Linked DNA regions of Drosophila melanogaster. The protein of the gene in region 2 interacts with the protein of the main gene of each other region in a pairwise test. Each region holds a gene or a part of one and is shown on either strand. Other genes may lie near its edges.

The links.
Region 1: the proteins of CG7582 (region 2) and CG1309 interact in a two-hybrid assay, tested with the Drosophila melanogaster proteins (one large-scale study listed by BioGRID).
Region 3: the proteins of CG7582 (region 2) and wat interact in a two-hybrid assay, tested with the Drosophila melanogaster proteins (one large-scale study listed by BioGRID).
Region 4: the proteins of CG7582 (region 2) and CG6337 interact in a two-hybrid assay, tested with the Drosophila melanogaster proteins (one large-scale study listed by BioGRID).

Annotation. Positions count from the first base shown.
Region 1 is NT_037436.4:4,254,285-4,262,488, reverse strand, and holds CG1309 (uncharacterized protein), read right to left. Parts: upstream 3,060-8,204; 5' UTR 2,947-3,059; coding exon 2,821-2,946; intron 2,746-2,820; coding exon 2,432-2,745; intron 2,381-2,431; coding exon 2,229-2,380; intron 2,122-2,228; coding exon 1,518-2,121; intron 1,452-1,517; coding exon 1,184-1,451; exon of another isoform or gene 1,128-1,183; coding exon 1,017-1,127; 3' UTR 846-1,016; downstream 1-845. Other genes in the region: CG11586 (uncharacterized protein), read left to right, coding at 123-225, 285-766; CG15011 (uncharacterized protein), read left to right, coding at 3,362-3,476, 3,543-4,153, 4,215-4,373, 4,427-4,543, 4,601-4,717, 4,774-4,905, 4,969-5,177, 5,233-5,413 and 2 more; CG1265 (uncharacterized protein), read right to left, coding at 6,559-6,689, 6,759-6,879, 7,194-7,453, 7,521-7,674.
Region 2 is NT_033777.3:29,677,234-29,684,917, forward strand, and holds CG7582 (uncharacterized protein), read right to left. Parts: upstream 4,809-7,684; 5' UTR 4,634-4,808; coding exon 4,613-4,633; intron 4,064-4,612; coding exon 3,894-4,063; intron 3,832-3,893; coding exon 3,258-3,831; 3' UTR 3,008-3,257; downstream 1-3,007. Other genes in the region: CAP-D2 condensin subunit, read left to right, coding at 1-128, 189-330, 386-473, 528-2,945; Gycalpha99B (guanylyl cyclase alpha-subunit at 99B), read left to right, coding at 6,169-6,404, 6,465-6,705, 6,766-7,684.
Region 3 is NT_033777.3:29,015,352-29,023,844, reverse strand, and holds the start of wat (waterproof), read left to right. Parts: upstream 1-3,438; 5' UTR 3,439-3,822; intron 3,823-8,493. UniProt on the Drosophila melanogaster protein: Catalyzes the reduction of saturated fatty acyl-CoA to fatty alcohols. The preferred substrates are C24:0 and C26:0. Necessary for the final stages of tracheal maturation, to facilitate the transition from water-filled to gas-filled tubes.
Region 4 is NT_033778.4:13,831,243-13,838,917, reverse strand, and holds CG6337 (uncharacterized protein), read left to right. Parts: upstream 1-3,821; 5' UTR 3,822-3,855; coding exon 3,856-3,951; intron 3,952-4,071; coding exon 4,072-4,998; 3' UTR 4,999-5,343; downstream 5,344-7,675. Other genes in the region: CtsL2 (cathepsin L2), read right to left, coding at 1-429, 871-1,199.

The DNA.
Region 1 (8,204 bases), on a different chromosome or scaffold from region 2:
ATCCCTGTCCAAAATCTTAGCTCAGACGCAAACCGCCGCATCGCTAACAAAAATATTTACAAATTTTCATTGCCTTACTTTTACCGAATAGATTTTAGTGCAATTGTCATCCCAGCGCCACCATGACGATGCGACCTGATGACCACCGAAGGAAATGGGACAAGAACGAGTACGAGAAGCTGGCGGCGGAGCGGCTGCTCAACCAGGTGGCACCCAAGGAAGAAGGTCAGTGTCTAAATTCCCTGGAAGGCACACATAATAAAAGTCTTTTTGTTTTTCACCAGAACCCGTACAGCGGGAGAACCTCAAGCGACGCGACTATAAGGTGGACCTGGACAGCAAGCTGGGCAAGAGCGTTGTCATCAACAAGAACACACCCACCTCGCAATCCGGTGGCTATTACTGCAACGTTTGCGACTGCGTGGTCAAGGATTCCATCAACTTTCTGGACCACATCAATGGCAAGAAGCACCAGCGCAATCTGGGCATGTCCATGAAGGTGGAGCGGAGCACCGTCGACCAGGTAAAGGAGCGCTTCCAGCAGAACAAGAAGAAGATGGAGGAGAAGCAGAAAGACTACGAGCTCGAGCGCCGCCTGCGGGAGGCCAAGGAGGAGGAGGATCGCTACAAGGAACACCGCAAGGAGAAGCGAAAAGAGCGGAAGCGCAAGGCCGAGGACACGGACTTCGAGTCCGGCGGCATGCCCGACGACATGGCCGCCATCATGGGCTTCTCCGGCTTCGGTGGATCAAAGAAGAACTCGTAGGAACTAAGTGTTGAACTGCCCCTCCCCTCCAATTTTAGCTGTACCATGAAATAGAAACTAACCACAAGACGACGCGTCTAGTTTAGCTTGTGACATTTATTTTGTATATAATTTCACACCAGTTCAGAAGACACCAGCTACCCGGCTGTTCCCAGTTAGAATAATTTAATAAGCAGTCAGAAGGCAAAAATTACTAAAAACCATTTTACTAAATCTAAGCATACGGCCGTGGATCACCTGCGGAATGAGCTTAGGTGAACACAAATCCCTGCTCAGTGGGTATGTCCCACGGCATGGTAAAGAACTCCCCGGGCAGCTGGGTGCAGTGCGTCGAGTTATAGTCACGTAAATGCTTGCGCAGCTGAAAGGTGAACAGTATTAGATATATAGACCATTTAAACTGCCGAATAAACCCACCAAGAACACAGCCATCAGATTGCGCACCTCCTCCGAGTAATCTGCTCCAATGTTCATGGGGAATGACTTGCCCTCGTCAGAGGCGTAGGTGATCAGGCGCGACATGCACAGCTTCTCGTCGGCGACGGGGATACTGTATGGTTCCAGGGGCTTAGACAGCAGCCCCTTGGCCTTATTCAACTGGGAAGCCCCAAAAATGTTGGGATACCGGTGCTTGAGCACTGACAAGACCAAGAAATTTCCGCGGTTTGTGTCAATGTGGTTGTCCCTAATGGAAATCAATGGGTTACGTTTTAGGAAAGACCTCTGCCCAAATGCAAAAGTTATCACTCACTCTGCAATGATCTCATCCTCAGTGCGGCGAATAAAGGATATGGGTCCATTGAACTCGTTGGCCAGTTCGGCATTGTTCAAATTACAGTAGTTTCGAATGGCTACCTTGACAATGCCCGCCAGTGCAGCTGGCATGCGAGGAACGGCCAAGTAGAGCACATCGTCGAAGGTGGCGTCTAGTACCACTCCCTTGACATCCGGATACACAGAGGCAGCGTATAGTGTACTAAAGCCACCAATGCTCCAGCCATACAAAATTATATCCTCTACGGGGAACCTAAGATTGTTGATGGCAAACTGCACCACGGCATCGATGGCGTTCTTGTCCTGGTGGGGATGAGGAGTGCCTGTGCTGCCGGCAAATCCGGGATGATTCCAGCCCAAAACGGAATACTTTAAGGCCACTGGGGTGGCCATAATGCCCACTTCATAAAAACCGGCATTGCCCTCGGAGCAAATGACTAGAGTCTTGCCATTTCCCACGTTGTTTGGGCGATTGTCAATGAACAACGTATCGATTTCGTTCGAGTCAATGGTCTTAACCTTGTAGCGGATGCCGTTGTCATCCTCGATGAGCTTGGCGCGTCCGGAGATCAGCATGGGTCCTGCAAAATATTTTAGGTTCAGTATATGTAGAAGTCTATCTTATGGGCTTATCGGATTGCAATTTAACAACATTTCAGACAGCTTCACATATGTATATCTTTCTTACTCATAAGTTTCTGGAGTAGTTTGACCGAACCCGGATAGATCATGGAGAGCCCAAAGGTGTTTATGGCCAGGTAGGCGATGGCCTCACAGGGCAGTGTCGCCAGCTGGATGGGCTCCCGCCTTCTAGCCGTAACCACCGGCTTTTTGGTATCACTGAAAACGAAGATGTTATTCTGGCACACTTCAAAGGCGTAGCCCACTCACCCGGTTAGAGCTTTCACATCAAAGTCCACCGGCCAAGCGTTGAACTCGATGTCGAAGCGACGCAGCTCGCTGTTGGCATCTCCTGGTGCCTTGGAGGACTTTGCTCGGACGAGGGCCTTAATCATGTTGGAGTAGGAGCGCGATTGCTTGCGCCCCAGGCCGCGCATCACCAGCGATAGGATGACGATGAGGCCCACGCTGGTGGTGATCTTGGCCAGCGTCGGTATGGAATCGGTCACCAGGTAGCCGCGTCGGTATAGGAATGTGACGAGCAGCGGAGAAGTATAATAGCCCACGGACCACATAACCGATAGCTGCAACGGAGAGTGTCGATTTTCCACATTACCATATGCTCCAGATTCTGCCCCATGGGATCGCAGGGCACTTACCGTCGATAGAATCTGCTCCCCGAACTTTTCCACGGCACCTGCCTCGTACATCTTGCGCTGCGGCTCCGGCACACCGCGGTATTCCATGTAGAGGTTGGGGCCAAACACGTAATTTAGGAAACTCATCTTGGATCGGATCGTAGTCGGTATGTCTGGATATATTTAATTTTCTCTATTTTATTTTGTTGCAAATGATGTGAAAGCTGTTCCAGGGTGTCGCACTCACGAACAGATGTTTAACATCGAATACCAGGGCTGCCACATTAGATACCTGACCTATTAATTGTAAACTTCAAAATGTTGGTCCAAATTATTAAATGCAATAAAATATGCAGAGAGGATGTTTGATAATTTAGGTATTAATGTGTATGTATGTATTTTTTTTGAATTAAATGAAATTCCCAATTGGAAACTGAAAGCTCACACAAATGTGTACCTTTCGGAACTAGATCCCCTAATTGCTGTTATCAGAGAACGAGCCATCCCTGGTTCTACCCCAGGAATTTATTCCCAGTTGATAGACAAAAACGCCGGCTTAAAAATGGAAAAGTTTAATAAAGCGCAAGCTAAAAATTTGGCTGCCGCCCAAAAACTGGTGGACACCTACGCCTCCAGCTCCGAGGATGAAGGCGAACTGGATGAGAATCACATTTTGGGTAAATCGACCGATGCTTGTGACGTGTCATTTGAAAACCATCAAATTTTGTGCTTTATCTTTTCAGAACTCCTATACAAGAACTACAAACCGTCGGACAACGCAGGAAGCTCAAAGGAAGCGGCACGCACCAGTACGTTTCTGGAAAACACTCTACACTCGGGAGCGGCAACCTGTCTCATTTGCATCGGAAGCATTCGGCGGGTGGAGGCCATTTGGTCTTGCGAGAGCTGTTACTGCTTCTTTCACTTGAAGTGCATCCAACGGTGGGCCAACGACAGCATGATGCAGATGAAGGTAAAGGCGGCAGAGCAGCAGAACGGCCAGGGCCACTACAATCATCTGGGCGAATTTGTGCCGCCCAAGCGACAGAAATCCCTTCACTGGTGCTGCCCCAAGTGCCGCAGGGACTACCAACCGGCCGATAAGCCCACGCAGTACAACTGCTTCTGCGGCAAGGAGGTGAACCCCGAGAACCAGCCCTTCCTTGTGCCCCACTCATGCGGAGAGCACTGCGGAAAGCTTTTGCAACCGAAGTGTGGGCACGATTGCAAGCTGCTATGTCATCCGGGGCCATGTCCTCCTTGTGCGCAGCAGGCGCAGGTCTCGTGCCTGTGTGGTAAATCTAGTCCTAGGTCCGTGAGGTGCATTGACAAGCAGTGGACGTGTCAGCAGACTGTAAGTCTTAACGTTTTAAGAAATTTTGTCTGACCACCATACTAAAAAAATGATTTTCCAGTGCAAGGAACTTCTAGCCTGCGGCAAGCACAAATGTAATCAGGTGTGTCATCAGCCAGGAAAGTGTCCTCCATGCACCAGCAAAAGCTTACAACCTTGCGAGTGCCAGCGGGAGTCGAAGATGGTCAACTGCTCCGATCGGAAATGGAAGTGTCAGAATGTAAGAAAAGCCTTTTGAAGCTGAAGCATAAAACAACATTAATATTCTTTCAGGTTTGTGGAGCTCCATTTGCTTGTGGTTTGCACATTTGCGAGAAGGTGTGTCACGCTGGACCCTGCGGAGATGGAGAGTGTCCTTTGCAAGTCAGGAGTTGCCCATGCGGCAAGAATGTATGTGATATATTTATTTACAAGTTTATATTCATTTATGATTACCTAATTCTGTAGACCCAGGTAAGACCCTGTAATGAGACAGAGGAAACCTGTGGCGATACGTGCCAAAAACTTTTGTCCTGTGGCCAGCACACTTGCACCCAGCGTTGTCATCGTGGACCTTGCATTTCCGTAAGATAGCCACCAGGGAAGCAAATCGATTCTCTAATGAAATATGTTTCTTACAGTGCCCAATAAGAACCAAAAAGAAGTGTCGTTGTGGTCTGCACGAAAAGGAGTTGCCCTGCTCCAAAGAGTTTGCATGCGAGACTAAATGCAAGCAAATGCGTGATTGCGGCAAGCATGCATGCAATAGAAAGGTATAAGAGCACGCAAGCATTTTAAATGTATACAGCCGAATTAACCAATAACCTTTTTTAAAGTGCTGTGGGGACCAGTGTCCACCGTGCGAAAAGATTTGTGGCAAGCAGCTGAGCTGCAACAAGCACAAATGTCAGTCCGTGTGCCACAACGGACCTTGCTATCCGTGTAAACTGGAATCCCAGATTAACTGCCGCTGTGGAAAGACCAAAAAAAGTGTTCCTTGTGGCAGGGAAAGAAGTGCACGCATTGTCTGCTTGGAACTCTGTCGGTTCGTATTTCTTTCGCAATATATAATGACCGACTTTTAATCTCACTTCTTGCAGCATAACTCCCAAATGTCACCATGCCATTAAGCATCGTTGTCACAAGGGTGACTGTCCTCCATGTGGCCAAGTGTGCGGTCTACCCAATGACACCAGCAAGTGTGGGCACATCTGTAAGGCACGATGCCACGAGGCAGTTAGAGTTAATAAACCCAAAGAGGCTAGGCCACAGGCCAAAAAGGTAACTATAATCACAAAACTCACCTATCTCAACATTAAAACTCTACAATTTGTTTTACAGTATGAGTATAAGGCATTACCACATCCACGGTGCGAGGAAGGCGTCATTGTCACCTGTATCGGAGGTCATGAGGTTGCCACTTGGCCATGCTGGAACTCCAAACCCACTTCCTGTCAGCGATCGTGTGCACGTCAGCTTAAGTGCGGCAATCACAAGTGTTCATTGGTTTGCCATTTCGTACCGCTTCCCCAGGATATGTCTGCGCAAACTGGCTGTGCCAACTGCGAGGAGGGTTGCACCGTTCCCCGACCAACCGGATGTATTCACGCCTGTCCCAAAGGATGTCATCCACCGCCCTGTGCGCCCTGCAACTTTGTGATTAAGACCAAGTGTCACTGTGGACTCAACCAGTTGGTTTACAAGTGCAACGAGTATTATGATGAAACGGGATCGGTCCAGGAGATCATCGAGCGAAGAGAAAAGCTACGGAGCTGCGGTAATCGATGCTTGAAGAATGTAAGTGCTGTAATATACCATTGTCGATCAAGCCTTACAGTGATATATATATTTTTTCAGTATCCTTGCGGACATCGCTGCACAGCCATCTGCCACACAGGCAAGTGCCCAAATCCCGAGTTGTGCCGCAAGAAGGTTCGCATTTTCTGCGCCTGCAAGCGACTCAAGCAGGAGATTGCCTGTGACAAACACCGTGCTGGTCAGACATTCTTGGATTGCGACTCGAACTGCAAGGCGGAGCAAATTCGCGTCCAGGCGGCAGAGCAACTGCAGCTGGAACAAAAGCGTCGCGACGAGGAAGAAAGAAACCGCCTGGAACTCGAGAAGTTCGAGGCCAAGTTCGGCAAACGCAAGCACAAGGAGCGCAAAACTGTGGGTTCTGGACCGGCCAAGACCAAGATCGATTGGCAACGTAGAGCAATCTATGCAGTATCCATTCTAACAGTTGTGGGTGCAATTGTGGTGGCTTTCTACGCGGACAGTTAAACGAGTAACAACAACCGATTCAAACAAGAATTTGTAATATCAATTTAAACAGATAAGCAAATAGAATTAAAACAATGACTGATAAGCATTTCCAGCCAGCGCAGTGTTTGTCTATGTTGAGCTTTTCTAATCAGGCTGGCCAATTACTCCGCCTTGGCCTTCTTCTTGTAGACGCAAGCGGCGGTGAAAACGGAGGCGCTAAGGAACGTCGAAATCAGGAAGTTTGATAGCAACATCCAATCGTGGGACTGGAAGAACACCGTGTAGATTCGAGCTGTAAGGGATACATATATGATGTGTTAATTGATGACATCAAGTGATGGAATGCAAGATGTGATCTCACTCATGTTTGTAAAGGCGGAGAGCGCCCATGTGGTTCTACTGACGGAACTGGCATCCTTGGTCCTCAGAATAGCCAGCAGCTGGAGGACCTTACTCGTGGCTCCAATGGGAGTGCAGAAAGGCTGACGGGAAATCAAACATTTAGATGAATTTCACGAGATTTATATATATTGCCCGAGCACTGAAAGTATTAATAGCCGCTCAAATATTATACAACAAACATCGGTGACCTTGAGCGAAGATGCTGCCCAGTTAAGAGCACCGCCTTTTCAAACTAAAACAAATAACAAATCAAACCAAACCCGTTTGCCCGGAAACATAATTAGTTAATTGGAAAAGAGAGCGGGGAACGGGTTTGAACTGCGCCGAAGTCGTTATCTGGGCAAGAATACCCGACTAATCAGTCACTAGGTGATATCAATACAGGCTTACTCACCACCAGGAACTTAAGGATGATAATGGGAAAGAGCTTCATGTATATGAGAGTGGCCACTATACTATACAGTATGGCCACCACTTGCGTCCTCCTTCCCAGCAGATCCTGGTACTTGAAGGCGTAGTAAATCAGGGCGTACTCCTGCAGCAGCAAAACAGGATACTCCATGTACGAGAGGAAGTCGTAGCCACTGGTGTAGTTGTACGACAACATCACCGTATAACTGAACAGCTCCAGGCACAGTCCCAAAACACTGATGCCTAATTCATAAATCCGTATCATATGAGTGGGAGGATAGGTTGCAGATGTTGTGTGGGCGGTGCTCACCTTTCGAGGACTCGTTCGCCCGTATCGTGTTTATCTGCGGAACCTTGATCACCAGGCAGGACGAGACCGTTATCAGGCTAAGGAGGTCCGCCACCACGAGCACTGGGCCGCGCTCCAGGTATTCGGACACCACATCTCCGAGAGCTCCACTCATAGCGACCGTCGAAATTCGAAATTTGCAGCTTCTGAGTGTGACCTTAACATTGTGTGGACGGAAATGCTAGTGTTACCACACTCTATCACTAGTAAACAAATTAACGATATTTGCTGTAATGGTTTCTAATTATTTTATAACATAGCAATAAATAACAAACTCATGTCATTTTTAGGGTTTTCAAGAAATTTCTATAAGTTATAAAATATAAGTATAAAAATTAAAAACTATGAAAATAGAAACAAGTTTTTTAAACATATAATAATTTTAGTAATTAAGCAATCAAAAATATAATATAAAATATAAGCAATCAAAAAAGAAAAGTAGAATTGCTGAGCAATTAAATTGTGTAAGAAACACGTTTATTATTACAACACATAAATAATTCATGAAATCCATACATATAAACAACTTGCAGAGTATCACATTTTTTAAAACCAAGCTCGAGTCACGCGGAGACCATCACATCCCTAACTTAAGCCGTGAATTCCCATGGTATATTTGAACGGTCGAGCGGTGGTCACACTGGA
Region 2 (7,684 bases):
GGTGCAGGCAATGGAGAAACTTAATGAGGTACTCGAGGAAGAGCGCAAGCAGGAGGAGAAGCTCAACGACGAGTTTAGCAGCTTGGCGCCCGAACTGCTGCCTTTCATAGAGGAGAACCTTACGGAGTGTGAGTTCATGCAGTTCCGCTAGTTCGACGTATATATTAAAGTTTATTGTTATATTACAGTTCCCGATATGCAGTTCGACAAGGAGGAGAGCGACGAGACCTTGATGGAGCGGATCATTCCGCTGATGCGCGAAAAGAACTACAAGGATGTTATTGTTCTAGTGCGAAAGGTAGACTTTTTGGCGGGAAATCAGAATATGAGGTATGTTGCTAATCAAAGATGGTTTTGTTTTACCATAAATATATTTACTTTCCAGTTCCTTACTGAAGCACGAGGAGCATTGCGTGTATGTGCTGGCCTTGCTAAAGACATATCACCTGCTGGCTGCTGGATTTAAACAGAGCGTATGTTTAATCTTAGAAAGTTATATTCCCTTCTAACCAAATCTTTTAATTTAGAGCGAGGAAATGCTGCAGCAAATCAAAACGGTGCAGTTCCTAAAAGACAGCATTGACTTTGCCGTCTTGATGACTTCAGCCTTCCCCAAACTGCACGAGATGCTCATGTCCAAGACAAACACGGATGTTTTTGAGGCGGTGGACTTGTTCACCACCGGGTACATGTTCGGAATTCACGGCACGGAGTCGGGAATGCAGAGAATGCTGCAACTGGTCTGGTCTTCGGACAAGGAGAAACGAGATGCAGTGTCGGATGCCTACAAGCGCGTTCTGTTCTCCACGGACCAAACGGGTCGCGCTCATGCCATTAAGGTGGTGCAGAACCTGTCGAAGTTTCTTTCGGAAATCGAGTATGGTCACTACACGGCCTTGGAGTCGCTGATGACCGAGTGGGTGTTGGGTGGCGACATCGATGCTGCTGTCATCCAGGTGCTCTTTGAGCGCTTCACGCTAAAACTGGAGGGCACTACATCCAACGAATCTCGCCTGTCGCTCCAGCTCCTGATAATGGCCTCGCAATCGAAGTCTAGTATTGTTTCGGCCAACACTGCCATCATCGAGGATATCGCCGTCGGAGAGCGGGTGCGTCGGGATCCACGGATATTTACCTCCTGTCTGCAGCTGCTGGTCAACTCAATCGATGCAAACAACACTGCCAAGTATTATAAGCGTCAGAACAGCGATGCAGAATTCGTGGGAAAGATCACGCGGCTCTTCCTCGACTTCTTTTTCCACAGAAGTCTATACGACTTCGACGCACTGGCCATGAGTGTTTTTGAATACTTCTATAGGATGTGCCAGGCGCCGGATGTGATTGCGCAGCAACTGGTGACGGCTTTACTCAAGCAATTCAATGAGAGCTGGCTGGTCAAGGAAGCGGCTGCAATAGTTCCCTCTCCAGACAAAGCGGATACGGAAACTGTTCCGGACTCGCAGCCCTTGGAGATTCCGCATTCGCAGACCCTTACTCCCACTCAGACTCAAGCTGATAGCCAATCGCAGATGCAAGGCACCTTGATTCCCGTGTATCTCGTCTCCCGCTTAATCTTTTGCATCGGCTACATGACCATCAAGGAGATGATCTTTCTCGACATGGATATCTATAATAACATGAAGTATCGCGACGAGCTGACGGCTCTTGAAGAGCGTAAAAACCGCAATCAGCAGGCGGGAAGTTCACATAATGCGGCCAGACTTACGCTTAATATGTCAGCGATGGAGGTGCGCAAGAGGCTGTCCGGAGTGGCAGCGGAACCACAGCAGGAGCCAGACGACGATCTGGTGGGAGCGACTGCAGAGGACAACATCGCCGAGGAAATCCACGGCATCTGCGAGGACATGCTGCTTTACAACCCGGATGCTCTGCTCTCCAAGCTGGCGCCATTTATCATAGAGATTTGCAAGCGTCCAGGTGAGTTTGGTGATCCCACGTTGCAACAGGCCGCTACTTTGGCTCTGGCCCGGCTCATGACCGTCTCCTCCCGTTTCTGCGAGTCCAACATGAGCTTTTTGATGAACATCCTCAACCTAACGAAGAACATTCGAATCAAGTGCAACACGGTGGTGGGGCTGTCGGATCTCACTTTCCGTTTCCCAAACATCATCGAGCCGTGGACGGGGCACTTCTACGCTCAGCTGCACGAATCGAACACCGAGTTAAGGCTAACTGCCGTCAAAATGCTATCTCATCTGATCCTCAACGAGATGATACGCGTCAAGGGTCAAATCGCCGACATGGCACTTTGCATTGTGGACGGCAACGAGGAGATTCGCAATATCACCAAGCAGTTCTTCAAGGAGATAGCCAACAAGTCGAACATTCTGTACAACGTCCTGCCAGATATCATCTCCCGTTTGGGGGACATAAACCTCAACCTGGATGAGGACAAGTACCGCATTATCATGTCCTATATCCTGGGTCTCATCCAGAAGGATCGCCAGATTGAGACGCTAGTGGAGAAGCTGTGTCTGCGCTTCCCGGTAACGCGGGTGGAGCGTCAATGGCGCGACATCGCCTACTGCCTCGGCCTGCTCACCTACAACGAGCGAGCTGTGAAGAAGCTAATGGACAATATGCAGCACTACAGGGACAAGGTCCAGGTGGACGAGGTTTATCAGTCCTTCAAGCTCATCATTAGCAACACCAACAAGTTGGCCAAGCCGGAGCTCAAAGCTGTAGTCACCGAGTTCGAGAACCGACTGAACGAGTGCCTGCAAGTCAACCCGGATACCGCTGCCCAGGGTGATCAAGAAAGCACTCCAGAAGGTCAGGGCAACAGAACCAGAGCGGCGCCAAGGACAAAGAAGGGTGGTCGCAAGCCGGCGGCCAACAGGAACAATACTGTGCGAGGACGCGGAAGACGTGCTCGCCGGGATTCCACCTCAGAAGAGAGCTTCAGTTCCAGCAGCAGCGACTAGTTCGTGCTCCATCTTAAGTTACGATCTGAGCGGGTTTTTAATGATGTACAAAGATGGTTTTTAATAAAATAGTTAATAGAACCTATTATTGATATATTTATTACTTTGAAGTCAACAAACATCTAGTAAACTACTAAGATCCGTTTCCACATCCATCAGAAAGGGAACAAATATTTGGTTGCACTAAGCTACTGGGATGGGGAAACCAACACACGTAAATGGCAATACTCTAGACGCTTTGGAAGTACTAAGTTTGGTGGTTGCGTTCATGTTGTCTCTGGGCCTCCGACAGATGAGCACTGGGCACTGGCTTCACTTAATTTTCTTGCGAAGGGAGCGCTGGAGGGCAGGACCGTCGTCCGCGGTGCTCAGCGCAATGGCAAACTGGGCGGCGTAGTAGGTGATCATGATCTGGAGGCGGGCGCAGGGCAGGGGCACGCCCACGAACATGGTGACCGCGATCAGGGCGTCGGAGATCACAAACAGAATGGCTCCGATGGCACAGAACACGGCGAGGAAGTTCCTGGAGTCCACGGCGCGGGCCAGCGATCTCCACAGCATTGTGGTGATCAGGAAACAGTAGATGGGCACTCCGATGATGAGAATCTCGTCCAGTTTCGTGTGCACGAAGTAAACAACTGGGGGTTTCAAATATTCCAGGTAAGGTATACGTATATAATGACCAGTAAACTTACAAAGCGATACGGCCACGTACAAGAGCAGTCCAATGAACCACTTTATGGGCTTCCAGCCAAAGGCGCTGATATAAAACACGTGCGCCACTCCAAAGGAGATCATTCCGAAGGGAAAGAGATTTATGTTGAGCAGAGCATCACCACCACTCGAGAAAACCAGACCCAATAGAATCCAAAGTGAGCGACGGTATCTGTTAAAAATTTCTTGTTAATAAGTAAGTAGTATATAGTATTTCGATGCTATAAAGCTTACTCCTTCTTGAGCGAGATTCCCTTGGCCACCACATAGAATACAAGCGCGAAAATGGGCAGGCATTTGAGCACGGTGGTCCATAGCTCTCCTTGAGGATCCTTCCTCACCAGCGAGAAGTATAGGACAATAGTAACCAGGAATGGCACCAACTTTGGGCCTTGCGACTTAGCCTATAATCGATACATAGTACATAATTTTAAATATATTGCTTTAAGTATTTACAATAATTATCTTAATATGATTACGAGGCTTAACATGTTGCCTGGTCTTAAAATAGCTTAAACGATTATAACAAATCGAGCCACGGAGGTCCAAACTACAGCCAAATCAAGTGATTAGGGAAATCGAACCGTTTCGGGGGGCAGATTAGATTAGGGTTGGTTCTTGGGGTTGGCTCGACGGAACCTCGTCACCAAACATAAATGGGCTTTGCATGGAATTATTAAGGGGGGGTCTAATGGGCTCGGGTGGTGGGCGGCACTCGAGTGGTCCTTCAAACTTTCGCTTTCAATGCAGGAGCTTTCGAAGTGCGCCCGTCCGGAGAACCGAGAGATGTGCAAGGTCAAGGACGAAGCTTTGTGTGCTGCGTCTTGGTTCCACTTTCTGCGTTTAGATAGAGCATCCGCAATGCACACATATACATATTTCGCATAATTTCTATATTATCAATGAAGCTTAAGACCGTGAGATTCCTGAATTCCAGAACCTGCGCTACTTACGAACTGCCCGAAATCGTTCATTGCGGCCGTAATTAGTGCAAATTACAACTATTAGAGAGGGTTAAAAAAAAATCCGAGCCAGCCAAGCTGCACTTTCACACGATGCGAGCGCGGAATGGAAAATAAACAAAACTATACAGTGCCCCCCCGAAAATGAAAACAATGGAAAAAGAACACGTTGCGCACGGTCGGCCAACGTCAATAAACTGAGGCGTATCATATACATTTTCGATTCGCTGGACTGAAAAGTTTCCGATTGCTGGAGAGTGAAAAGTTTTCAGCCGGACATGTGGTGTGCAGCATATGCAGCATTCTGCAGATACGGATATCCCACAGATACAGATACAGATACATTTTGCGGGCCCAGGAGGGCAGATTGATTATTTCTTACCTTTGCCGTTTGGTGGAGAGCGGGAAACTCGGAGAGCGCTGCTCACGCAACAGGTTAATTGAGAATTGACCGTTGGGCAGAGCTTTTCCGCCAGCATCAGAATGTATCCGTGAGATACACTCATGCGCACTCGCTCTCCGCTCTCCGCTCTCTTTGTATCTTCAAAACAATGCAACAACCTCTGCACACTTTCACTTGCCAAAGCTTTCTCCGCAAAGCTTGGCTGGCTCCGGACTTTTTCGCCACCTTACTGTGGCCCAAAGTTCATTCCGTTTCGGATTGTGGCATTTTTCAGGCGTGCGAAAAAATTCCTCAGCGCTCCAAGAATTTCCACAGCAATTTTGGTCACTGCTTTAAAGTGAGCATAAAGCCAAGAGGCCAGCGAAAGAATTTTTATTTTCTTAACCAAGTAAGTGCTAGCCCAAAAGTATGCTATTGTTAGGCGTTCGAGTGTCCCAAGTGGAAAAACCTTGCTTGATTGAGCTGGAAAATTGTGTATCCGTGGGTGCTTCCTGCAGGCAAATACACACTCCTGTAGAAAGCAGGAGGTGGTGAAAATTAAAGCTGACCAGTGTGACACACATCGGGCAGCAGCAGCTGGCGGGGATTGGGGCAGGAGCGGAGCTCGTAAATTATGCAAAACGAAATTATGGTAATGCCACTGGCCAGAAAGCACGAGTGGGATCCTTGCCAAGAACGAAATAAAGAAGGACTGCCACACACTTGACCTCCAAGGAGCAAAGCCACACAAGACACTGCAGGGACTCGAGCCTATGTGGGCCACCAGTGGGTGGTGCACGTAGCAGGCCAGCCACCCACTCACACAAGTGCACGTTGAACTTGAGAAAAGAGCAGAGAAAAGCCCCGGGCGGAAAATGCACGATACACATCGATTAGATGACTGTATTTCCGGAGAAAACACACATCTCAATTATAATTTCACTTGAATTGATTAAATGCTCTTAATGGGTTTTTGAAAGTATTGAAAAGTGTTCTTTTTATCTCATACCTCAAATTATGCAATAAAATGCAAACGCGTATTTTATCAAGTTTGATTGATTTGCGTTCAATAATTGAATTGTTAAATTGTATAAGCCACTAATTGCACCACACAAATCCCCCAAAATAGATCGAATAGAGGCCACCCGAGAGGCGAGCACGCGACATGGCGTGTCCTTTCTTCAGGCGTGCGGACTCGCTGACACGCCAGCCCTCGGTCATCGCCGAGCCTGGTGGCCACTGGGCGCTCGAGGACGAGGAGCTCTCGGACGACGCCCTGACCCTCACCCACCTCCAGATGGCCATCCAGCTGCTGACGGCGCCGTCGAACGAGGATCTCAACACGGCTGTAACGTCTTTGGTGGCCAAGTACCGCCAGAACTGGCCCAATATCCACAAGCTGTAAGTAAGCATTATAAGAAATTATATACTAGATATAAACTATATCTAAATATACCCTAGCAAACTGGATCCGCAAACCTTCAAGAGCTGTGCCAACTATGACTACTTGGCGGACATCCAGGAGCTGCTGCTGAAGATGGACGAGGCCAGCGCCAGCGAGATTCTGGTGCTGCTCGGCGAGGAGCTGATCACCTGCTGCTGCACAGGTATCATTGAAAGAGCCTTCCGCTGCCTGGGCACCGATCTGCAGGAATTCCTGGGCTCCCTCGATGGCGTTTACGATGTGCTGAAGCTGCAGGAGGTCAGACTTATAGATAATGTTCCTACCTAAATGCTAAACTAAGTCCGCTTTGATAACCAGGAGGACGTCACCGATACCGGATTCGTGTGTGCCGGCGAGGGCGAGCTGATCTTCACCTCGGAGCGCCCGGTCATTGCCTGGTTGCTCCTGGGCTCCCTGAAGGCGCTCACCCGCATGCTCTACAAGGTGGACGTGAACATCAAGATCGAGCCCGTGGAGGGCGATGCCCGGCGGTATCGCTACCTCTTCTCGCTGGTCAAGGACAACTCCCAGACCATGCTGATGGGTCGTCCCACTTCCGTGAGCAAAACCATCCCGGAAACGGTGCAGCGGAGCAACTCGAGCAACGCCTCCGACCTGCAAATGAACTCGTCCAGCTTCTGCAAGATGTTTCCCTGGCACTTCATCATGAACGAGCAGCTGGAACTGGTGCAGTTGGGCAGGGGATTCAGCAAATTGTACAAGCCCTACATGGCGGACTTTGGTTGCCAGGCGACCACCTACTTTGATTTCAAACGACCCAAGGGATTGACCATGAAATTCCGGGACATCGTGAGGCGCACCTACACGCCTTTCCTGATCGGTTTGAATAATCCGCCGGGCGCTGTGGATTTCCCGGCCATTGGACTGGAGATCAAGGGACAGATGGTGCACTGTCCCGAGTCCAATTCGTTGCTCTTCATTGGATCCCCCTTCCTGGACGGCCTGGATGGGTTGACCTGCAACGGACTCTTCATCTCGGACATACCGCTGCACGACGCCACCAGGGAGGTGATCCTGGTGGGCGAACAGGCTCGGGCCCAGGATGGACTGCGCCGGCGCATGGACAAGATCAAGAACAGCATTGAGGAGGCCAACTCGGCGGTGACCAAGGAGCGGAAGAAGAACGTCAGTCTGCTGCACCTCATCTTTCCCGCGGAGATCGCCGAGAAGCTTTGGCTGGGCTCCTCCATTGACGCCAAGACGTATCCCGATGTTA
Region 3 (8,493 bases), 660 kb from region 2:
GGTTTCCCCTGTCCGAGCCACTTGAGATGCATTTGCCTATCCCCGAGTGGAATTAATAGATTTTCATAGTTTTTGCACTCTGGCGTGGCACGCGAAACGCAATCAATAAGGCACTAGAATGCATTTCTCTGAATCGCTTTGGTGACTGCGTCTTTATGCCGCCCCCATCACCATCTCCATCTCCATTCCTATATCCTCCATCCAACCAACCGACGATCCCCTACCCCCCAATAAAATCGCCGGGAATGAAGATGTTGCTCCATGCAATTCGGCGAGTTGTTGTTTGCACGATTTGTTGCCGTGGCCGAGCGTCTTTGAACCCGCTCTGAATTTCAATGGCTTCCGTTCAGCCATGTCCATGTGTGTCTTCCAGCCAATGTGTTGGTAATTCTGCATTCTACCGTGACTGATACTTTTATACCCTCGATGGGGCATTTTATTTTTGCATTGAATGGCGAAGTTGCACATTGTCACAAACCATATTTTCACTCCGGGAATTCCGTCGAGAAGTGTTCCCAGAAGTGTTCCCAAATTAGATTGCTCACCACTAAATTCAGGCATTTGCTTGACTTTGCAATTAGAGAGTAAGCGACCAATTCCAAGATCTTTATAGTATATATCATTCCTTGGCTTCTTCAAGTTGTGAAGGGTATTGAAAGCATAGGTTTCTTTGTGTGTTAAGAACATATTGGAGGCGTACGCTGCGTTCCGTCTGGCCATAAAATAAATCAAGCAGCCCGACACCAGAGTCAATAGTAAATCACGGCTGAAACGGCAAATTACCAGACACTACTGGCCATCATCTCGTCATCGAGACTCCTCGAATAATTATGCGGTGACGCGACGAATTTTCCACACACTCCAAATGCCGAATTAGCCCTGGCAATTACCTTTTTAGATTTGCAGCTTCTGGACTTTGAGTTTGATTTGTTATGGCCGCTGTTTTCTTTTTCTGTTTGTCTTTGAACGGCGCTATTTGCTAGTCGATTTGTTAGAATATCGAGAGGTAAAAAACCCAAATGACTTGGCAATTTGCCTTGGCTATTATCGCGATGACGAAGCTGGCCAGTTTTTGGGGGTGCAACCGTTTGGATGGATCCGCGATTTCGGCCCGGATTCTTGTCGCTCAAGAGCACCAAGGTCAACTTTCGCTTTTTTAGTGCTCCATTTTATTGGGTTCTTAAATTTCGGTTGCGTTTATTGCACTTCGCTTTTCAGCTCGACTGTTTGGTTAGTCCATATGATTTTGGCCATACGATTGAGCCTGGTAATGCAAGCTAATTTGACGGTCCATAAACGGTCTGTGTGGAACATAAAAAAAAACCACCATATAACTAAATAGTTTATAAAAACAATAATCGTAGAATGATCAGCTTAAAAAGTATTTTAATTTGGCTCGAACGTATTTCAATGCCCTTGAAAATAAACAGGTAGATAGTTGAACCTTTAATAACTGACTATGTCAGAAACGAAGAATAACTTTTTAAGCTAATTACTAAGACCAGGTGCGAAAATCGGCGAGAAATCAGATTTTCAAGGTATTGACTCAAAAAGGTAACACTCAGTTGTCTGGGTAAATGTTGCCCTATTTGCTCATTGCAAACTGTCCGCCTACAAATCGTAACTTTTTATATAATGGAGCCCCGAAATCTGCATAAGTAAAGAGGCATTTCAAAGCAATTACACAGCATAAATAAAGGCATCAAACAATCTGCAGGCCGTTGTACCTCGAAAGTGAAGTAATTATACATCAAAAGCGAATCATGTCATTGTCAAGTGTTTGAACAGAGCTGAACAAGATCGGATCATACCTGAAAAGTGTGCACTTGAGTGTCTTTTGATGGGGCCACCATTAATATGCAGTGTCTTGATCGCGAATATTATTATTTTAATTTCGTTATTTCGCATTTGTCATTAATGGGCCTTTTGTTTCGTTTTCGTACAGCGTTTGTGCGAGAGATATTCGAGTTTATAGACTCTTTGAGCTTGGCTCTGGTGTGAGAAGATACTGCGTCAAGATACAGATACAGATGGGATCGGCGACAAAACATGCTGGGAACTACGTGATTGATGGCGGCACTGCGATTACCAGCCGAACAGCTGAACAGTACTGAACTCGACTTAGAATACTCGGCCCAGGCGAATATATTATAAATGCTGGGATATATGCGAAATCAGTGAAATCTTGTCGCGTCTAAAAAGGAAAATCACACAGCAAATGCAAAATTTATGAGCGAACTACGTCGAACGACGTCTCCGGGCGAACGGAGCAGGAATACCAATTGGGCTGGGTTTTCGATTGGGATTCGTATAGGGATGGAGCGGATGTGCACTGCACTCGAGGATGAGTCAGCTGAGCCGGAGGTCCGTGTGGGTTCAGCCCTGTCAGACAGATCAAACTATAAAGACAGGGTCCAGGTTCGCCGAATGTCTTTAATTAGCCAGCACGGTTTCAGAGATCTCATCTAGTAATCACTTTATTTACCAGACACAACTTGGGGTCAGCATGATAATCATATGCTATCATCACTTAATTAACAACGGAATTTTTTATACAAGATAAAAGAACATACATATAATGCAAAGTAATCCAATACATTTTCGGTTAATCATTTTGCACTTCTTAACAATCATAATGATAATCCGAAAATTCAATCGCTATGTATTCAATTATATGGAGCCTCATAATATATGATATATGTACACGCTGCGTATGAGTAATATTTACAGTTCATCTCGAAATCTTTGCTAATATTTTGAGTATTCGTCATCTTCGTTGGAATGATAACTACTAGTATACATTGGGTATGGGAATATTCAATTTTGAAACTCAACTGAATAAGGCAATTGTAAAAGATACTGGCGTAATCTTTGATTACCAGCACGTTTTGTTAATTGTTTATTAAAGATGCTTTGGAACCTTCAAAATGCTCCATTTAATAGGATGAATGGCAAGCTGTAAGCTAAGTAACCGGCGCTATTTTAACCCAAGTGACCAGCGCTTAAGTGAAGTCCGATGTACATATACCGCAAATATATCTCAAATGCTTCGGCTTTACGAGGCTCCATAAAATTGGATCATAACACTGGCAGTGTCCGAAAGCGATGCTCAGGTGCGGCAAGTTAGTACGACTATGTACATGTGTACACTTCAATCGCCAGTCCAAACTGCGCCACTCAATTTGACTTGATTTTTTTTTTAAGTTTGGCTTACCGCCCACAAAACGCCGCAGTCGCCGTCGCAGTCGACGCCACCGTCGCTGAGGCGCTGAGCCGCTGAGCCACCAAACCGCTGAGCCGCTGAGATGCCAAGCGCACCACCATCGAGCCGCTGAACGGCGCCGATCCACGGACTGAGAAGCCGCCGTCAGGTGTTGTGGTTTTTGCGAGCCTCAATCGAGCTGAGTCTGTTTTCGTCTGCCTGGCAGCGCGGTTCTGGAACGCGTAACGCTCGCATCGACTTCAAAAGTTAGTTTTCAAACTCGGGACTCAATTCGCTGGATATACAAAACCGATTCGGTTCGGATCGCGGTGCGCTCCCAGTTTTTCCACCTGTTGCAACCAATTTGGCATCGCTCTTTTCGCTACTCTTGTGCAACAGCGCGTGCTGCAGTTGTAAAGCGCGTTTGGTTAGAGAATTTTTATATATTTCGAAAGTGGCAACTGAAAAAGATAGAAAACCAAGAGATATATCCCTGTATGCCAGCGAGCAAGATTCGTTTTGGCAGATCCACGAGCCCTCCAATTAGCCAGCAATTTGCGGAAAGCCACTCCAATCCAATCCGTGGCCGTGGGATCTGTGCCTGTGCAGCCAGCAAATCGGTGAGTCTTGAATTACATGGGATTATAGACAATCTGCTCTGCTATCCGTATACCTGGTAATCGTATGACATATGCCATTACGTATATGCTAGGCACTGTAGGTAGTGGTGGTGGTAATGTAGCTGGCGTTGATGGCTTTCTAAAAAAAATACCCATATACCCAAATACCCAAAACGGGTTGGATTCGCTCCGCAGGTGCAGGAGGGGCCGACGAAGAGCTCATAGCCAATTGCCAGCACACAGGCATTCACGAAAAAATGTGTGAAATTTCATTGAATTTCCCAAATTTAATACACAAACAAACCCACTCGGCAATTGGGAAATAACTCATTGTTTTGCCATTGCAATGGCAAAAGAGTTACGGCTGCCAAAGAATCGATAATCGCCAGTTGGATTATTATATTACTCCCGTGGTCTTTGTGTATTTCAAACAAGTTTGCATTCATTCGTATTTTATATATGGCCAAACCCAAAAAATAATTGATTAGATTGGGAAAAACATTCATTACTGGATCAAGAGCAGTTCGATCAATATTTAAATTCCCACTTAGCAGCTCACTAATTTGGCAGAATAAATAATATTATCTGTGACATTTGGTTTTACAAATCCGTGACTAATTGTTCTGTGCTGGCTATAAAAGAAATTACTTGATGCTCAAAAATATACAAAAATATACATACCTTTTGTAAAAGAGACTAAAAGGCCAGAAGAGGATTTTAAATATTTAGAAGATACGCATTTCAGTGAAATGTCGCAATAAAAATGTGTTGCATTAAATATTATTATATTACGTAAATCATATTTCAGCTGCGCAGAAATGTGCAATTTGCCTCAGCTTTACAAGCCATTTAAAATCCGAACTCAATTAAGCGATGTAATTTGGAAATTAAAGTTCATAAAGAATTTAAAGAGTGGACGCCCCCAAGCCCTTTATACAACAAATACTTTCGTTGGCCAAATTTAAATGGCAATGAAATGCATTCAATGAAATATGCATGAGAATATCATCATATCGTGCTGAAATGAAACAGAGTTTAAAAAATCGATTTGTGTGCCACAATTAAATGGGCCTCAAGGATGCAATTAAAGTATCTAAGTATCTGTGCAGGAAAAACCCAGCCAACTCTTTAATTGAGGCGAGACGAGAAAATAGTGCTAAACTTCATGTCATAGCGATTCAATTAATTCGCAATTTATCAATTTTCAGTGCCAGGGCTTTTTGATGCGGCCAAACATATTTCATTTGTCCACCACAAACAACTGGTATTCCAGTTCGGATGCGGATGGGGATTCGTTGGGAGTTCGCTTCGGGATCCGTGGGCGGATGGCTCTGGTGGCTCTGGTGTTCCATGTTCCATGTTCAGTGGGCTGACGTGGTGGGGCGTCAAGTGGAAAATAATCGATGATGTGCCCGGGCACAATGCAAACATTGAATCAAAGTCAAATAGCATTAAACTTTTTGAACTTGCGAGGCGCGGCGAACATAAAAAAAATGAAATAATAATAAAAGTTTGCCCGCCTTCCAAGAGGCGTGAAAGCGCACACAAAAAAGTGGGCAAGCGGGGTAGGGGGTTTTTTTTTGGGTTCCTGGGTTTTTGGGACTCGGTGCTGCAGTTTTGGATCTCCCTTTCCAGAGATTTAGTGCTTTTCTTTTTTTTGGATGGATAAGCGCAGCGTTGCGCAAATATTTGACAAATCCCGCGAAAAGTCTGCTTATGTTGTCACCTCGCCTCGTTGCCATTTCTATCCAGCACCCAGGGAATGGAATGGGATAACTGGGATGGGATGCGATGGGATTTGCAGTGTGACTGGCACTGGGCCAGTCATGCTGATTAGGATTGCACCGAAAGACACTTGCCACTTGCCACTTACCACTTTCAACGTGCGACAATGTTTTCGAATTGAAATCCGAATCGGAATTTGCATGCGAATGCTCGCGGTGTAATTTATATTTCGCACTTGGCGCACTTTTCATTTCGCTGCGCGATTTTGTTTATGCAATTTGGCCAACTGCCTGCCGAATGCCAAAAGGAAGGCAAACGCCTCAGGCTTCAGGCTTCTGGCTAACGAGTGCAGGCGCGTGTCTGTATCTATATCTGTATCTGCACCTCTATCTGTATCTGTATCTGTATCTGTATCTGTATCTGTATCTTGTGGATAGGGAAGACCCCCCGAGATTCCCATATAGCAGGTGAAGGCGAACGTAAATGCGCCAATTTGTATGCAAGCAGCATTAATCGAGGGGTAATCCGGCAGCGATGCATTGCAGCCAGTTAAAGCCCAAGCCCAAGCCGATTCCGAATCCAAATCGAAGTCCAAAGCCAAATCCAGAGCCAGAGCCACTGCGTTTCGACCTGGCCAAGAGGGGCCGACATTACGTGAGATGTGCAATTGCACGAAATTGATTTGCAATCGATAAATGTGCGAATATTGCTTCTGCTGCGAATTAGCAGCCAAACAGCCAAACGGCCAAGTGTCCAAATGGCCAAGATATCCGAAGGCGCTCTTCGCCTTGCATTTTCCAGGCGTGTTTAAGTATGCATAAATAACTCATCGGCCGCCTGACCATGAATCCAATTGGGAACATCTTCATTTAAATTGTTTAGTAGCCGAGCAATGCGGCTGAGTAATGTTTGCATTGTATCTGCATCTGTGCCTCCGGTATCTGCACATTTTTCAAGCTGCCAAGTGGCAACGTTCCTAAATAAAGGTATGTTTTGAACATAAATTTTGTCAATTTCAACTATTATCGGGTGAGTTTGCATTTACCATACTCGTATAAAACGTACGGTTTTAAATTACAACAAAGATCGAATTTCCATGCAGATATTCTATATATTTGTAGATAAAAGTGTTACACTTGTAGCTGTTCATTTGAACACGGCCATATTAAATTCTGCATGCTCATTTAATTAGTGTAATTATATTTGGCACAGTACATATGTAGCTGCTCTGATATGTTTCATATTACACTTATTAATTATTTAACGAGCGCTGTAATATATAATTGTAAAATTCCTGCGGTCTGAATAGCCCACTCTGAGTGACAGCCAGTTGATTTAAACGGAATGTGTTCTTTAACTATAGATGAACCATTGATAAGAGGTTAACCCAAACATTGCAATTATTTATATATTTTAATGCAGCATCTGGGCGGAGAAGCATATAAATTATATTGTTGCTGAAACTTCCCATGCCAGCATTGATATTGATAAAATTCAAAATAAATCCAATCGCTTTCGGGCGTAAAAAAAATCGCCTCTCTTCTATCAAAATCGCTCCTTGGCCTGTGTGTGTGTGTGTGTGTGTTTGTGCTCACGCTTTGTGCTGCAAAAATTGAAAAATCAAACACAAGGAAAACCACTCGAGATTCAGCAGTGCAATCGATTTCCAAAGCAACATTGGTGGTCGTACCAAAGCAGTTGTATTGGTAATATTGGTAGCATAGTAGCCACTGACAAGGTCAGCACTTGGGCTTTTATTTGGGGCCCGGCGGTTGTCGCATTCTAAGCAAATCGCAATTGCCATATAGCTGCAGCTATCTACTACAGCTATACTCGTATATACAATACATTTGCTATTAGCTCGTTGTGGAATCGTTTGTTGAATCGTTGTTGAATCGTTGTGGAAATCGTGGCCCGGCCGTAATACACGTATTAATCTTGCCTCGCTTCTTGTTAGATGTGGCGTTGTTTTTGCGGTGGCAGCTTTGCTTTTGCCTTTTTGCTTAGTGCTTTTGCTTTGCTTTGGCAGCAACAAGTGTTTAATTGCGATAAATGCACCTGACCGCCTTGAGCCTGAGCTTGGGTTTGGGTTGAGACTGGGTTCGGACTGGGTTTGGGCAAGGCTTTCTGGTTCTCTCAGAATCTCTGCTGCTTTTCCACCTGCCCACTGGCCAGCACTACGCGAAAAGGTCAACACAATTCGGCTGCAGGCCAGCGGCATTGAACATGAACGTGGCCCGAAACTCTGCACGTAAAGTTGCCAATTTTTGTTGTTTGTTTGTTTGTTCGTTAGTCAACGTTTTCGGCCCAATTAAGAGCGGGCCCATAAATTTGGCATGACCATTTAAACATAAACCCCGACCGTGTACATCCTGTAACGGCTTTTTAATTATGCATGTCGCTATGAAAGCGTCGCTGCTTTGGCACTTGGCTAAAAGGTCTGCCAGCCCAGGCAACTGGGTCATTACCATGGCCTGGTCTTGATCTTCTGCTGATGGGGCCGTAAAAGACTTACTCCAACAGGTTGTAAAGCCAGTGAATTGTCTTGAATGTAATGTGCCATAAAGACATAAATTACAGTTCGGCCCAGAGACGCTATGGATATGGTGGCTTAGGTCAGGCATTTGATGCCGCTTATTGGAGCGTTTTCAGGAGCACCTCTTGACCTTAGGTAAGGGTCTTAGTAGCGATGGAGCATGTGCTTAGAGGAAGAAGAGTTCCTCTTTCGTACGTGGTATATTTTATATCTCCTGGGTACTTAATTACCTTTCAGGTATGCGGAAATATATCAGAAATATTCAAGGGTCTTAATTTCCTTTTAAATCGTATGGAAACCCCTTGTAATCTTGAGTTCAACCGCAACTGCACTCAATGACAACTTCATGACTCAATATTAATTGAATTATTCCAATTGAGACCTGATTTGCGGAGTGGAATATTTTTGCC
Region 4 (7,675 bases), on a different chromosome or scaffold from region 2:
CCGGGAGTAATGGTGGCATAATCGCGAATTTTCACCAGACTCTCGCGCGGTGGACGTCCGGCGGTTTCGTTCTGACGGCACTGCATCTCCGTCTGTGTGTACGGATATTTGTTGGCCAGCGTTACACCGTGATCGCGTATGTACTCGAAACCGTACTCCTGGAAGCCACCGTCACAGCCCATGTTGCCGTAGTCATCGGCACAGTCCACCAGATTCTGCTGCGACAGCGAGGCCAGCACTCCAGTCCGCCGGAATAGATGTCCTTCGAGCGCTCCTGTGGTGGCGAACGACCAGCAGGCACCGCATCCCACACCCTGGAATCCCGGTGGCGTCACTCCGCCCTTCTCGCGCCAATCGAACATCTCGGGAAGATTGGCACTCGCCGGATTCCTGGCAGTCACAAAGTTGATATGGCCATTCGTATATCTCCTGCAAGGTAAGTAAAACATTTTAGTATTCCGTTAAGCAAAGATTAAAGCAAATTAGTAGCTTACTTAAGTGGCAACCAGACTACATTTAAATGTTATTCATAATGTTCTTAAATGTATGACAAACAACCGATAAGTTATGAAACATTTGTTATGGAGCTTCGTCGTAATAAATAAGTTCGATATGGAAGGGTTTTGTTTGTTTCCACCCATTTGGTTATAGTTTTCGGGAAACCACAAACCTATGGTCGGAATATTTGATCAATTCTGATTTCTTGATTAGCATAACCGGGAAACCAATCGGCACCTACGTAACGTTACAAATCATATGGACGACGATACCGAAACCCGTTTGAAAGTTATAAGCTGGGTGATAATTCGTTTATGGCCAAAAAGGGGACTTCCCCCGAGCTCTAGATATGCGTAAGATGGTGCTACTTACTCGCCAAATTCGGAGATTTTGGAGCCCAGCAAGGTGGCTATCTCCTTTCTGGTCATGTCGGCCAGCGTATTGACGCCCAGCCGGAATCCGGACACGCCGTTGTCGGCGTTCTTATTGCTCAGCGTGATCAGCGACATCTTGGCCGCGAAGATGCTCTCGCGATAGACTCGCTCCTCATCCGAGTACACCTTGCCCGTCTGCCGGAGGAAGTCGTCGAAGTTTTGCACATCGCAGAGCTTGGGAAACGACTGCAGTTGCTGCAATGACACAGCACCCAGCAGGGCCAGTCCCAGCGTCATCTGCAGCCACATCGTTGAGCACATCCGCATCTGGAACGGTGGACAGCAGAGCGAGTGGAAAGCGTTAGGTAACCACTTGGCCAATACATAGTTACACCATCCCATCCCATCTCATCGCATCCCGCGACCCCTTTTCATGCCCCTTTTCTTGCCACATCTATCTGTCAACGTTAATCACTTGGCCGCAACTCGACCCGTTCATTCACCTCCAATCGAACCAACCTGCCGTGCAGATCGTGAAGTTTCCTATAAGTGGAGCCGCTATAAATATTTATTTATGGACATATTAAAAGCAACGTTGCTTCCTAGAAAATCTGCACAATTTGAAAACAGGCCACACTCAAAATCTATGCGTTTATTCGATATTAAAATGTTTATCCAGTAGATACTTTTTATTGGTAAATATTCAGTGGAGTGTCTTCATTGACATAAGAAATGATGTTATGTCTTTTTGAGTAATTTGAGTAAGTACAATGTTTGGCAAAACCAAAATAAAACAAAGAAACTAATAAATTGTTTGTTTAACAAGCTTGGTTTTGAAGAAACTAAACCGTTTAATGATCGCCTATGCAGAAATCAACATTGTTTCTAAGACAATCAAAAACATAATGATCGATTAAACGAATAAAAAACTAATTATTATTGGTTTTTTCTATCACGCTGACTATCCGCTTCTGTCAGCAATCGCGTTAATGGGTAATTAATCATGCGCTGTCTTAATTTCTCAACTTTATTCGATCTTACCAAATTAAATAGACTTTTGAAACTAGCAGAGCATTCGCTGTTCGTATTTCCGGTCTGTTTTACGAATTCGATCACCGATGAGACGTGAATAATTACTGGGTGAATGAGCTAATTTGCATATGCTTAGCATAATTACATTAGTGCAAGCATTCGATTCGGATGAATTTCGAAATGTATGAATGATTTCGCGGCTTCGTCTCTCCTTTTATTTCCTCAGCTCCCAAATTGGCTCCATCGAGGGCCCAAATAAATCAAAATCAAATCTAGATTAGGCAACCGCAGGCTAAGATTTCACTTTCGTTGCCATAAAATACTGATCACATGCTGTGCCCGGTGAAAGGCGATGGATTCCCCTGTTTAAAATCAAATTTCGAGTCGAATGTAAGCAATTGCAGTTCTCTTGTCTTCGACGGACCATTATGAATCGAAAAATAACAACACACACGACACAATATGTTGAAAAGATCGACTTAATCACCTTTTATGGATATCTGGGAATGATATGTTCAAAACACCTTCCGCGTTCACAAATCACAAAACTATTCGAAGATGCTGAAGACTCGAAGACCGGCGAGATTATAAGCGGCGCTCGACCCGCACACCTTGGTTTTATAGAGTCTGGAGCTGGACCGTGGGACATATGGCCAAAACTGGATGGGCCACCAATTTGAAACTTTTGGAATACCGACAAGAGCATATTCATCTTCATTTCGACGGGCTATCTGGTTTATGGGTCTATAGCTGTCTCCATTATATGCATGCTTAGTAATTGTCGATTGCCTAATGTGTTGGTGGCTATAACAACGCATATTAACTCATTTGAAACAAAAGAGAAAATAGTCAAACATGTTTTTAAATAGTTAATAATTGATGAGATCGAAGTCACAGTTGTAGCGCCTATAGGATTACAAATTTCAATGCAGCAAGCAAAGTTTTAGGAAAGTTTTTAAAGCGTCTCTAAGTAGTTTGTACTATTATATCCCTTGTAAATAAATAACACTTTGATTTTTATGTAAATAATACAATTACAGAATGATAAAGATGCAGACGGATGAATAATGGTCTCGACTTTCAATAACTATAAATTGAAATTGAACCATGAAGAGATTGATTAGTGGCCAATTTATTTGCATTTCAATTAACAGATTCGTGGAATCTGAATTTGTTGTTGCGTCTACTAAAAAGTTCATTGACTGCTGAAATCCCTTATGGACTTACCTACATATTTGCAAAATTTCAAGATGATCCCTCATTACTACTTCGAATATATACTACCTGTAGTATATGCTAGACTACCGCAATGGAAATTACCAAACAACTCACTTAGCACTTGGTTTACAGCAATTTGGCCAAGTCTTCCAACGGGCCTATCTATCTATCTGTCTATGTATCTTTCCATCTACGTATCTATCTATCAACGCTGTTGCAACTTTTATGGGCGCCACAAAGTATGACTGTGATTAATCATGCCTGCGCTGAAGACAAAACCTGAAGACTAAACGATAAGTTGGCATTAGAGGGGCGTTTACGATGCTCCATGGGCATATGGGCTTGGGTGTTTTTTTCTGAACTGGGCCAGTGGGGATTTCGAATTAACAGAGATACGAGAACCCACCGCCGAATCGCAACGATACGAAACGGGGCATTTGACAAGTTTATTGGGCAAACAAAGCGCACCCCGACTTTTCCTACCAACGTCGGCTTATCGAGGAGACCCAACCCGGAATATGAATACTACGGATAGTACGTTTGAGTGCTGCTGGCCAAGTGCGAATTCAAGGCCTCGTAGAAATCTACGAGTATTTGCACTTTTCTTGCGAAAGTAAGTCGCTTTGGTAAACTTCTATTTGCGTTTGCAATCAGAAGGAGAGTTTGCCGGTGCCTATAAAAGATCGTTCCATGGTTCTGGCGGCATTAGTTGGTGCGGATTTGGGTTTTCGTCATGTTCAAGTTGCTACTTTGCTGCCTTCTACTAACCATCGACAGTGGATGGGCCTTTAATCATGGCCAGGATCTAGTGGACTTTCAAACTTACGAGGTATGTGAGTCATCAAGAAAACAAAGTCTGGATGGGATTTAATTAGAAATTATATCTTGTATCTTATGGCATTGAAAAGGATTGTATTGAGTAATGGAATTCAAATCTTTCCATTTACAGGACAATTTCAACAAGACCTATGCCTCAACTTCGGCTCGCAACTTCGCCAACTACTACTTCATCTACAACCGCAACCAGGTGGCGCAGCACAATGCCCAGGCCGATAGGAATCGCACCACCTACCGCGAGGCAGTGAATCAGTTCTCGGACATCCGGCTCATCCAGTTCGCAGCCCTGCTGCCCAAAGCCGTGAATACGGTGACCTCGGCGGCCAGTGATCCACCGGCCAGTCAAGCGGCATCTGCCAGCTTTGACATTATCACGGATTTCGGACTCACCGTGGCGGTGGAGGATCAGGGCGTGAACTGCAGCAGTAGTTGGGCCTATGCCACCGCCAAGGCCGTGGAGATCATGAATGCCGTGCAGACAGCCAATCCTCTGCCCTCGTCCTTGTCCGCCCAGCAGCTGCTGGACTGTGCGGGCATGGGCACCGGATGCAGCACCCAGACGCCCCTGGCTGCCCTCAACTATCTCACCCAGCTGACAGATGCGTATCTCTATCCGGAGGTGGACTATCCGAATAACAATAGCCTGAAAACGCCGGGTATGTGCCAGCCCCCATCCTCTGTGTCAGTGGGCGTGAAGTTGGCCGGCTATTCCACGGTGGCCGACAACGATGATGCCGCCGTAATGCGTTACGTATCGAATGGATTCCCCGTCATAGTCGAGTACAATCCGGCTACCTTTGGATTCATGCAGTACTCCAGTGGCGTCTATGTCCAGGAGACGCGTGCCCTGACCAATCCAAAGAGCTCACAGTTCCTGGTGGTCGTGGGCTACGATCACGACGTGGACTCCAATCTGGACTACTGGCGCTGCCTGAACTCCTTCGGCGACACGTGGGGCGAGGAGGGTTACATCAGGATCGTGCGCAGGTCCAATCAGCCCATTGCCAAGAATGCCGTCTTTCCCAGTGCGCTTGCCTAAGAAGGATTCCGATTTGACCTTATTTCAAGTTAATAAACTTAAGTTTTATGTGTAAATTTTTATATGATGATTTTGTTTCGGATTCAGTAGATGCTGTAAGTTCTTTAAAAAAACTTAATGCTAGTAAGCAATACTATTATTATTATTATAGACGCATTATCTTTAAATCAACTAGAATTCGAGTAACAGATTCGGGAATATCTATAATAACACTATGATGATACCTTAAGAGTGTGCCTATCTATATCTATGATAGTTCATAGAATAGAAGAATAGTAATAGAACCATCCAAGAAATAGATTTGGGAATATCTCAAATAAAGCTAAGATAATTCATCGAGATCTTGAATATTACATAAAGAGTAATCTTGAAAAAAAATCCCCCGTCTTCTACCAAAAAGTATCGTTTGGTTTTTTGTTGTGAAAGCTTACAGCTTTTTTGTCTCCATTTATTGAATTTACCATTTTATTTAGTTTATTTATTGATTTTTCATCTACAAGCGGAGCTTTACAGACTTAAATGCTAAAAATTAACAAGTTCACTTTATTTTCTTTTCTTTTCTTGTTTTTCGCATCTTTGATCTGCTTATGGATTTTATACTATTATCTTTGCAGTGTTTTCTTTTTCTGTTATGTTTCTCTTGCATAATAAATAAGTTTCCCATTTTGTTGCTATCCGTGTTGCTGTGATATAAAAACGAAAGGAAATTATATAGATATATATAATATTTAGGTATTATATTTATGGTTATAGAATATTCGACTCAGCCAGCGCAGACAAAAGCTTCTTTTTTTTGGTGTGTGTTCTTTCTGTAGATTTCTTAATCTTAGTTCTCGTAAATTTTTTAAGTTTCAGTAACTTGTTTGGAAACGTTGTTATTATAAATACTTCTCGTTATTATATTTCAATTGCGTTAAATAATTTGAAATATATGTATGTACGTTGTGTTTGCATTTTGTTTTGTTTTAGTTTAGGTTTTTAGTTTTTAGTTTTTATTTTTGGTTTAGAATGTCTTCCCGTCTTCTTGTGAAGCAAAGCTCAATGATATGATTCACGCTGAAAGGTGATTTAACGATTTTTATTATTTCAATAATTTTGCAGTTTATAAAGATTGCGTGATCTTGTGTTTTATTAGGTTTTTCTTTGTTTTTTGTTTTTTGTTCTGGATGTGCTTGAGTTGCAATATTTAGGGTACTTCCTTGGAAAATCGTTGCGGATGAAGAACAAAATCGAAATTATCCATCGTAATCGGTTTAGTTGTGGAACCTTAAGTACTGTGACTAGTTAATGGGGTATTGATTTTAAATTTCCTTCTTTTTCGCCATTTAATTACTCTCTTATTTTTTCACTATTACGATACCAACGGCTAGTGTTTGTTATTATTTTATAAATTAAAATTAGTTAGGTTTATCTACATATGCTCTCGCTTCTCTCTGTATTTATCTTATTATCTTTCCGTATAATTCTTAATAATATTTAACTAAATAAATATAATGTTATATAATTTATGCAATTTCTCATGTATATATATATCTTTGTTTTTTGCTTTTGTTTTCTACACAAAATGATGTGTTTGTAACTGGTTTTTATATGTTGGCTAGTGTTTCTGTTTATTAATATCTTGCAATGTTTTGTGTTGACTGTACCTCGGTTTGTGTTCGAATCGCATTGGGGACACAAATCAAAATGTTTATGGACTTTCCGTCTAAAGTATTAGGAAGATTTATGTATATCAGCCATGCTAGCAGCTCCACTTCCGCCGGAATTTCGCGGAAATCCGTTGAAAATGTATCATAGGGATCTCATGGCTATATAGTATGGTTTAGTTTTCGTGAAGCCTACAATGGACAAACTTTATTATTTCCTTCTCGTATTTAGTATTTGATGGATTCTCCTTTGGTTTCATTTATTTACTCTGTATAAATTTCAATGCTATTCTCTTAATTTTCTCACTACGAAAATTGATTTTCTGCTTCCAAATGAGTTATGAATACCAAATTATTGCAACTTCTTTGCCGTAAAGATTGGTGTTCATCCTTAGAACTTGCACTAATCGGTTTCATAAAGGGTTTGCCTTTGAGGATGCCCTTCCTCATTTATTTTATTGAATTGCAAAAAACAGATCTCAAATTTTGAGACTAGTTCACAGAACAAAAGCTTATAAATCAAATGAAACTATGGATTACCTTCCAAAAAGGTTGTAGATAAAATCCCAACATATAATATGACACCAAATAATAAAATAATCCTGGTTACTGCAAAGTATTTATCGCAAATAGATAGATGTTCGTCTTTAAAATTTGCACTTACAGGTTTCTTGAAGGGCAAGCCTTTAAAGATTCACCCAGTTATAAACTAAAATGGAAATACTTTAAAAAAAAACCAAAGAGGAGAACGCAGTTTTTAGTAAGAAACCCTTTTTCGCTTGATCTCGTGGAAAAAGGCATTCCTACATCGCTGATTTTGAATTATTTTGGGTTACGACTTATGTTGTAGATCAAGGATCTGCATTTCTTACTAAGGACTTTTTTTTAGGGTCGACGGTTGAATTTTTTTTTTTAGGCGGAGACATTTACTGGCAGTTTTTCTGTATTTTAAAATTAATTTCGAACAAAGGCTTAAAAAAGGTTATTATTTTATTACTGCCCCCAAGAGAGTGTGTGTTACCTTTTTCGAT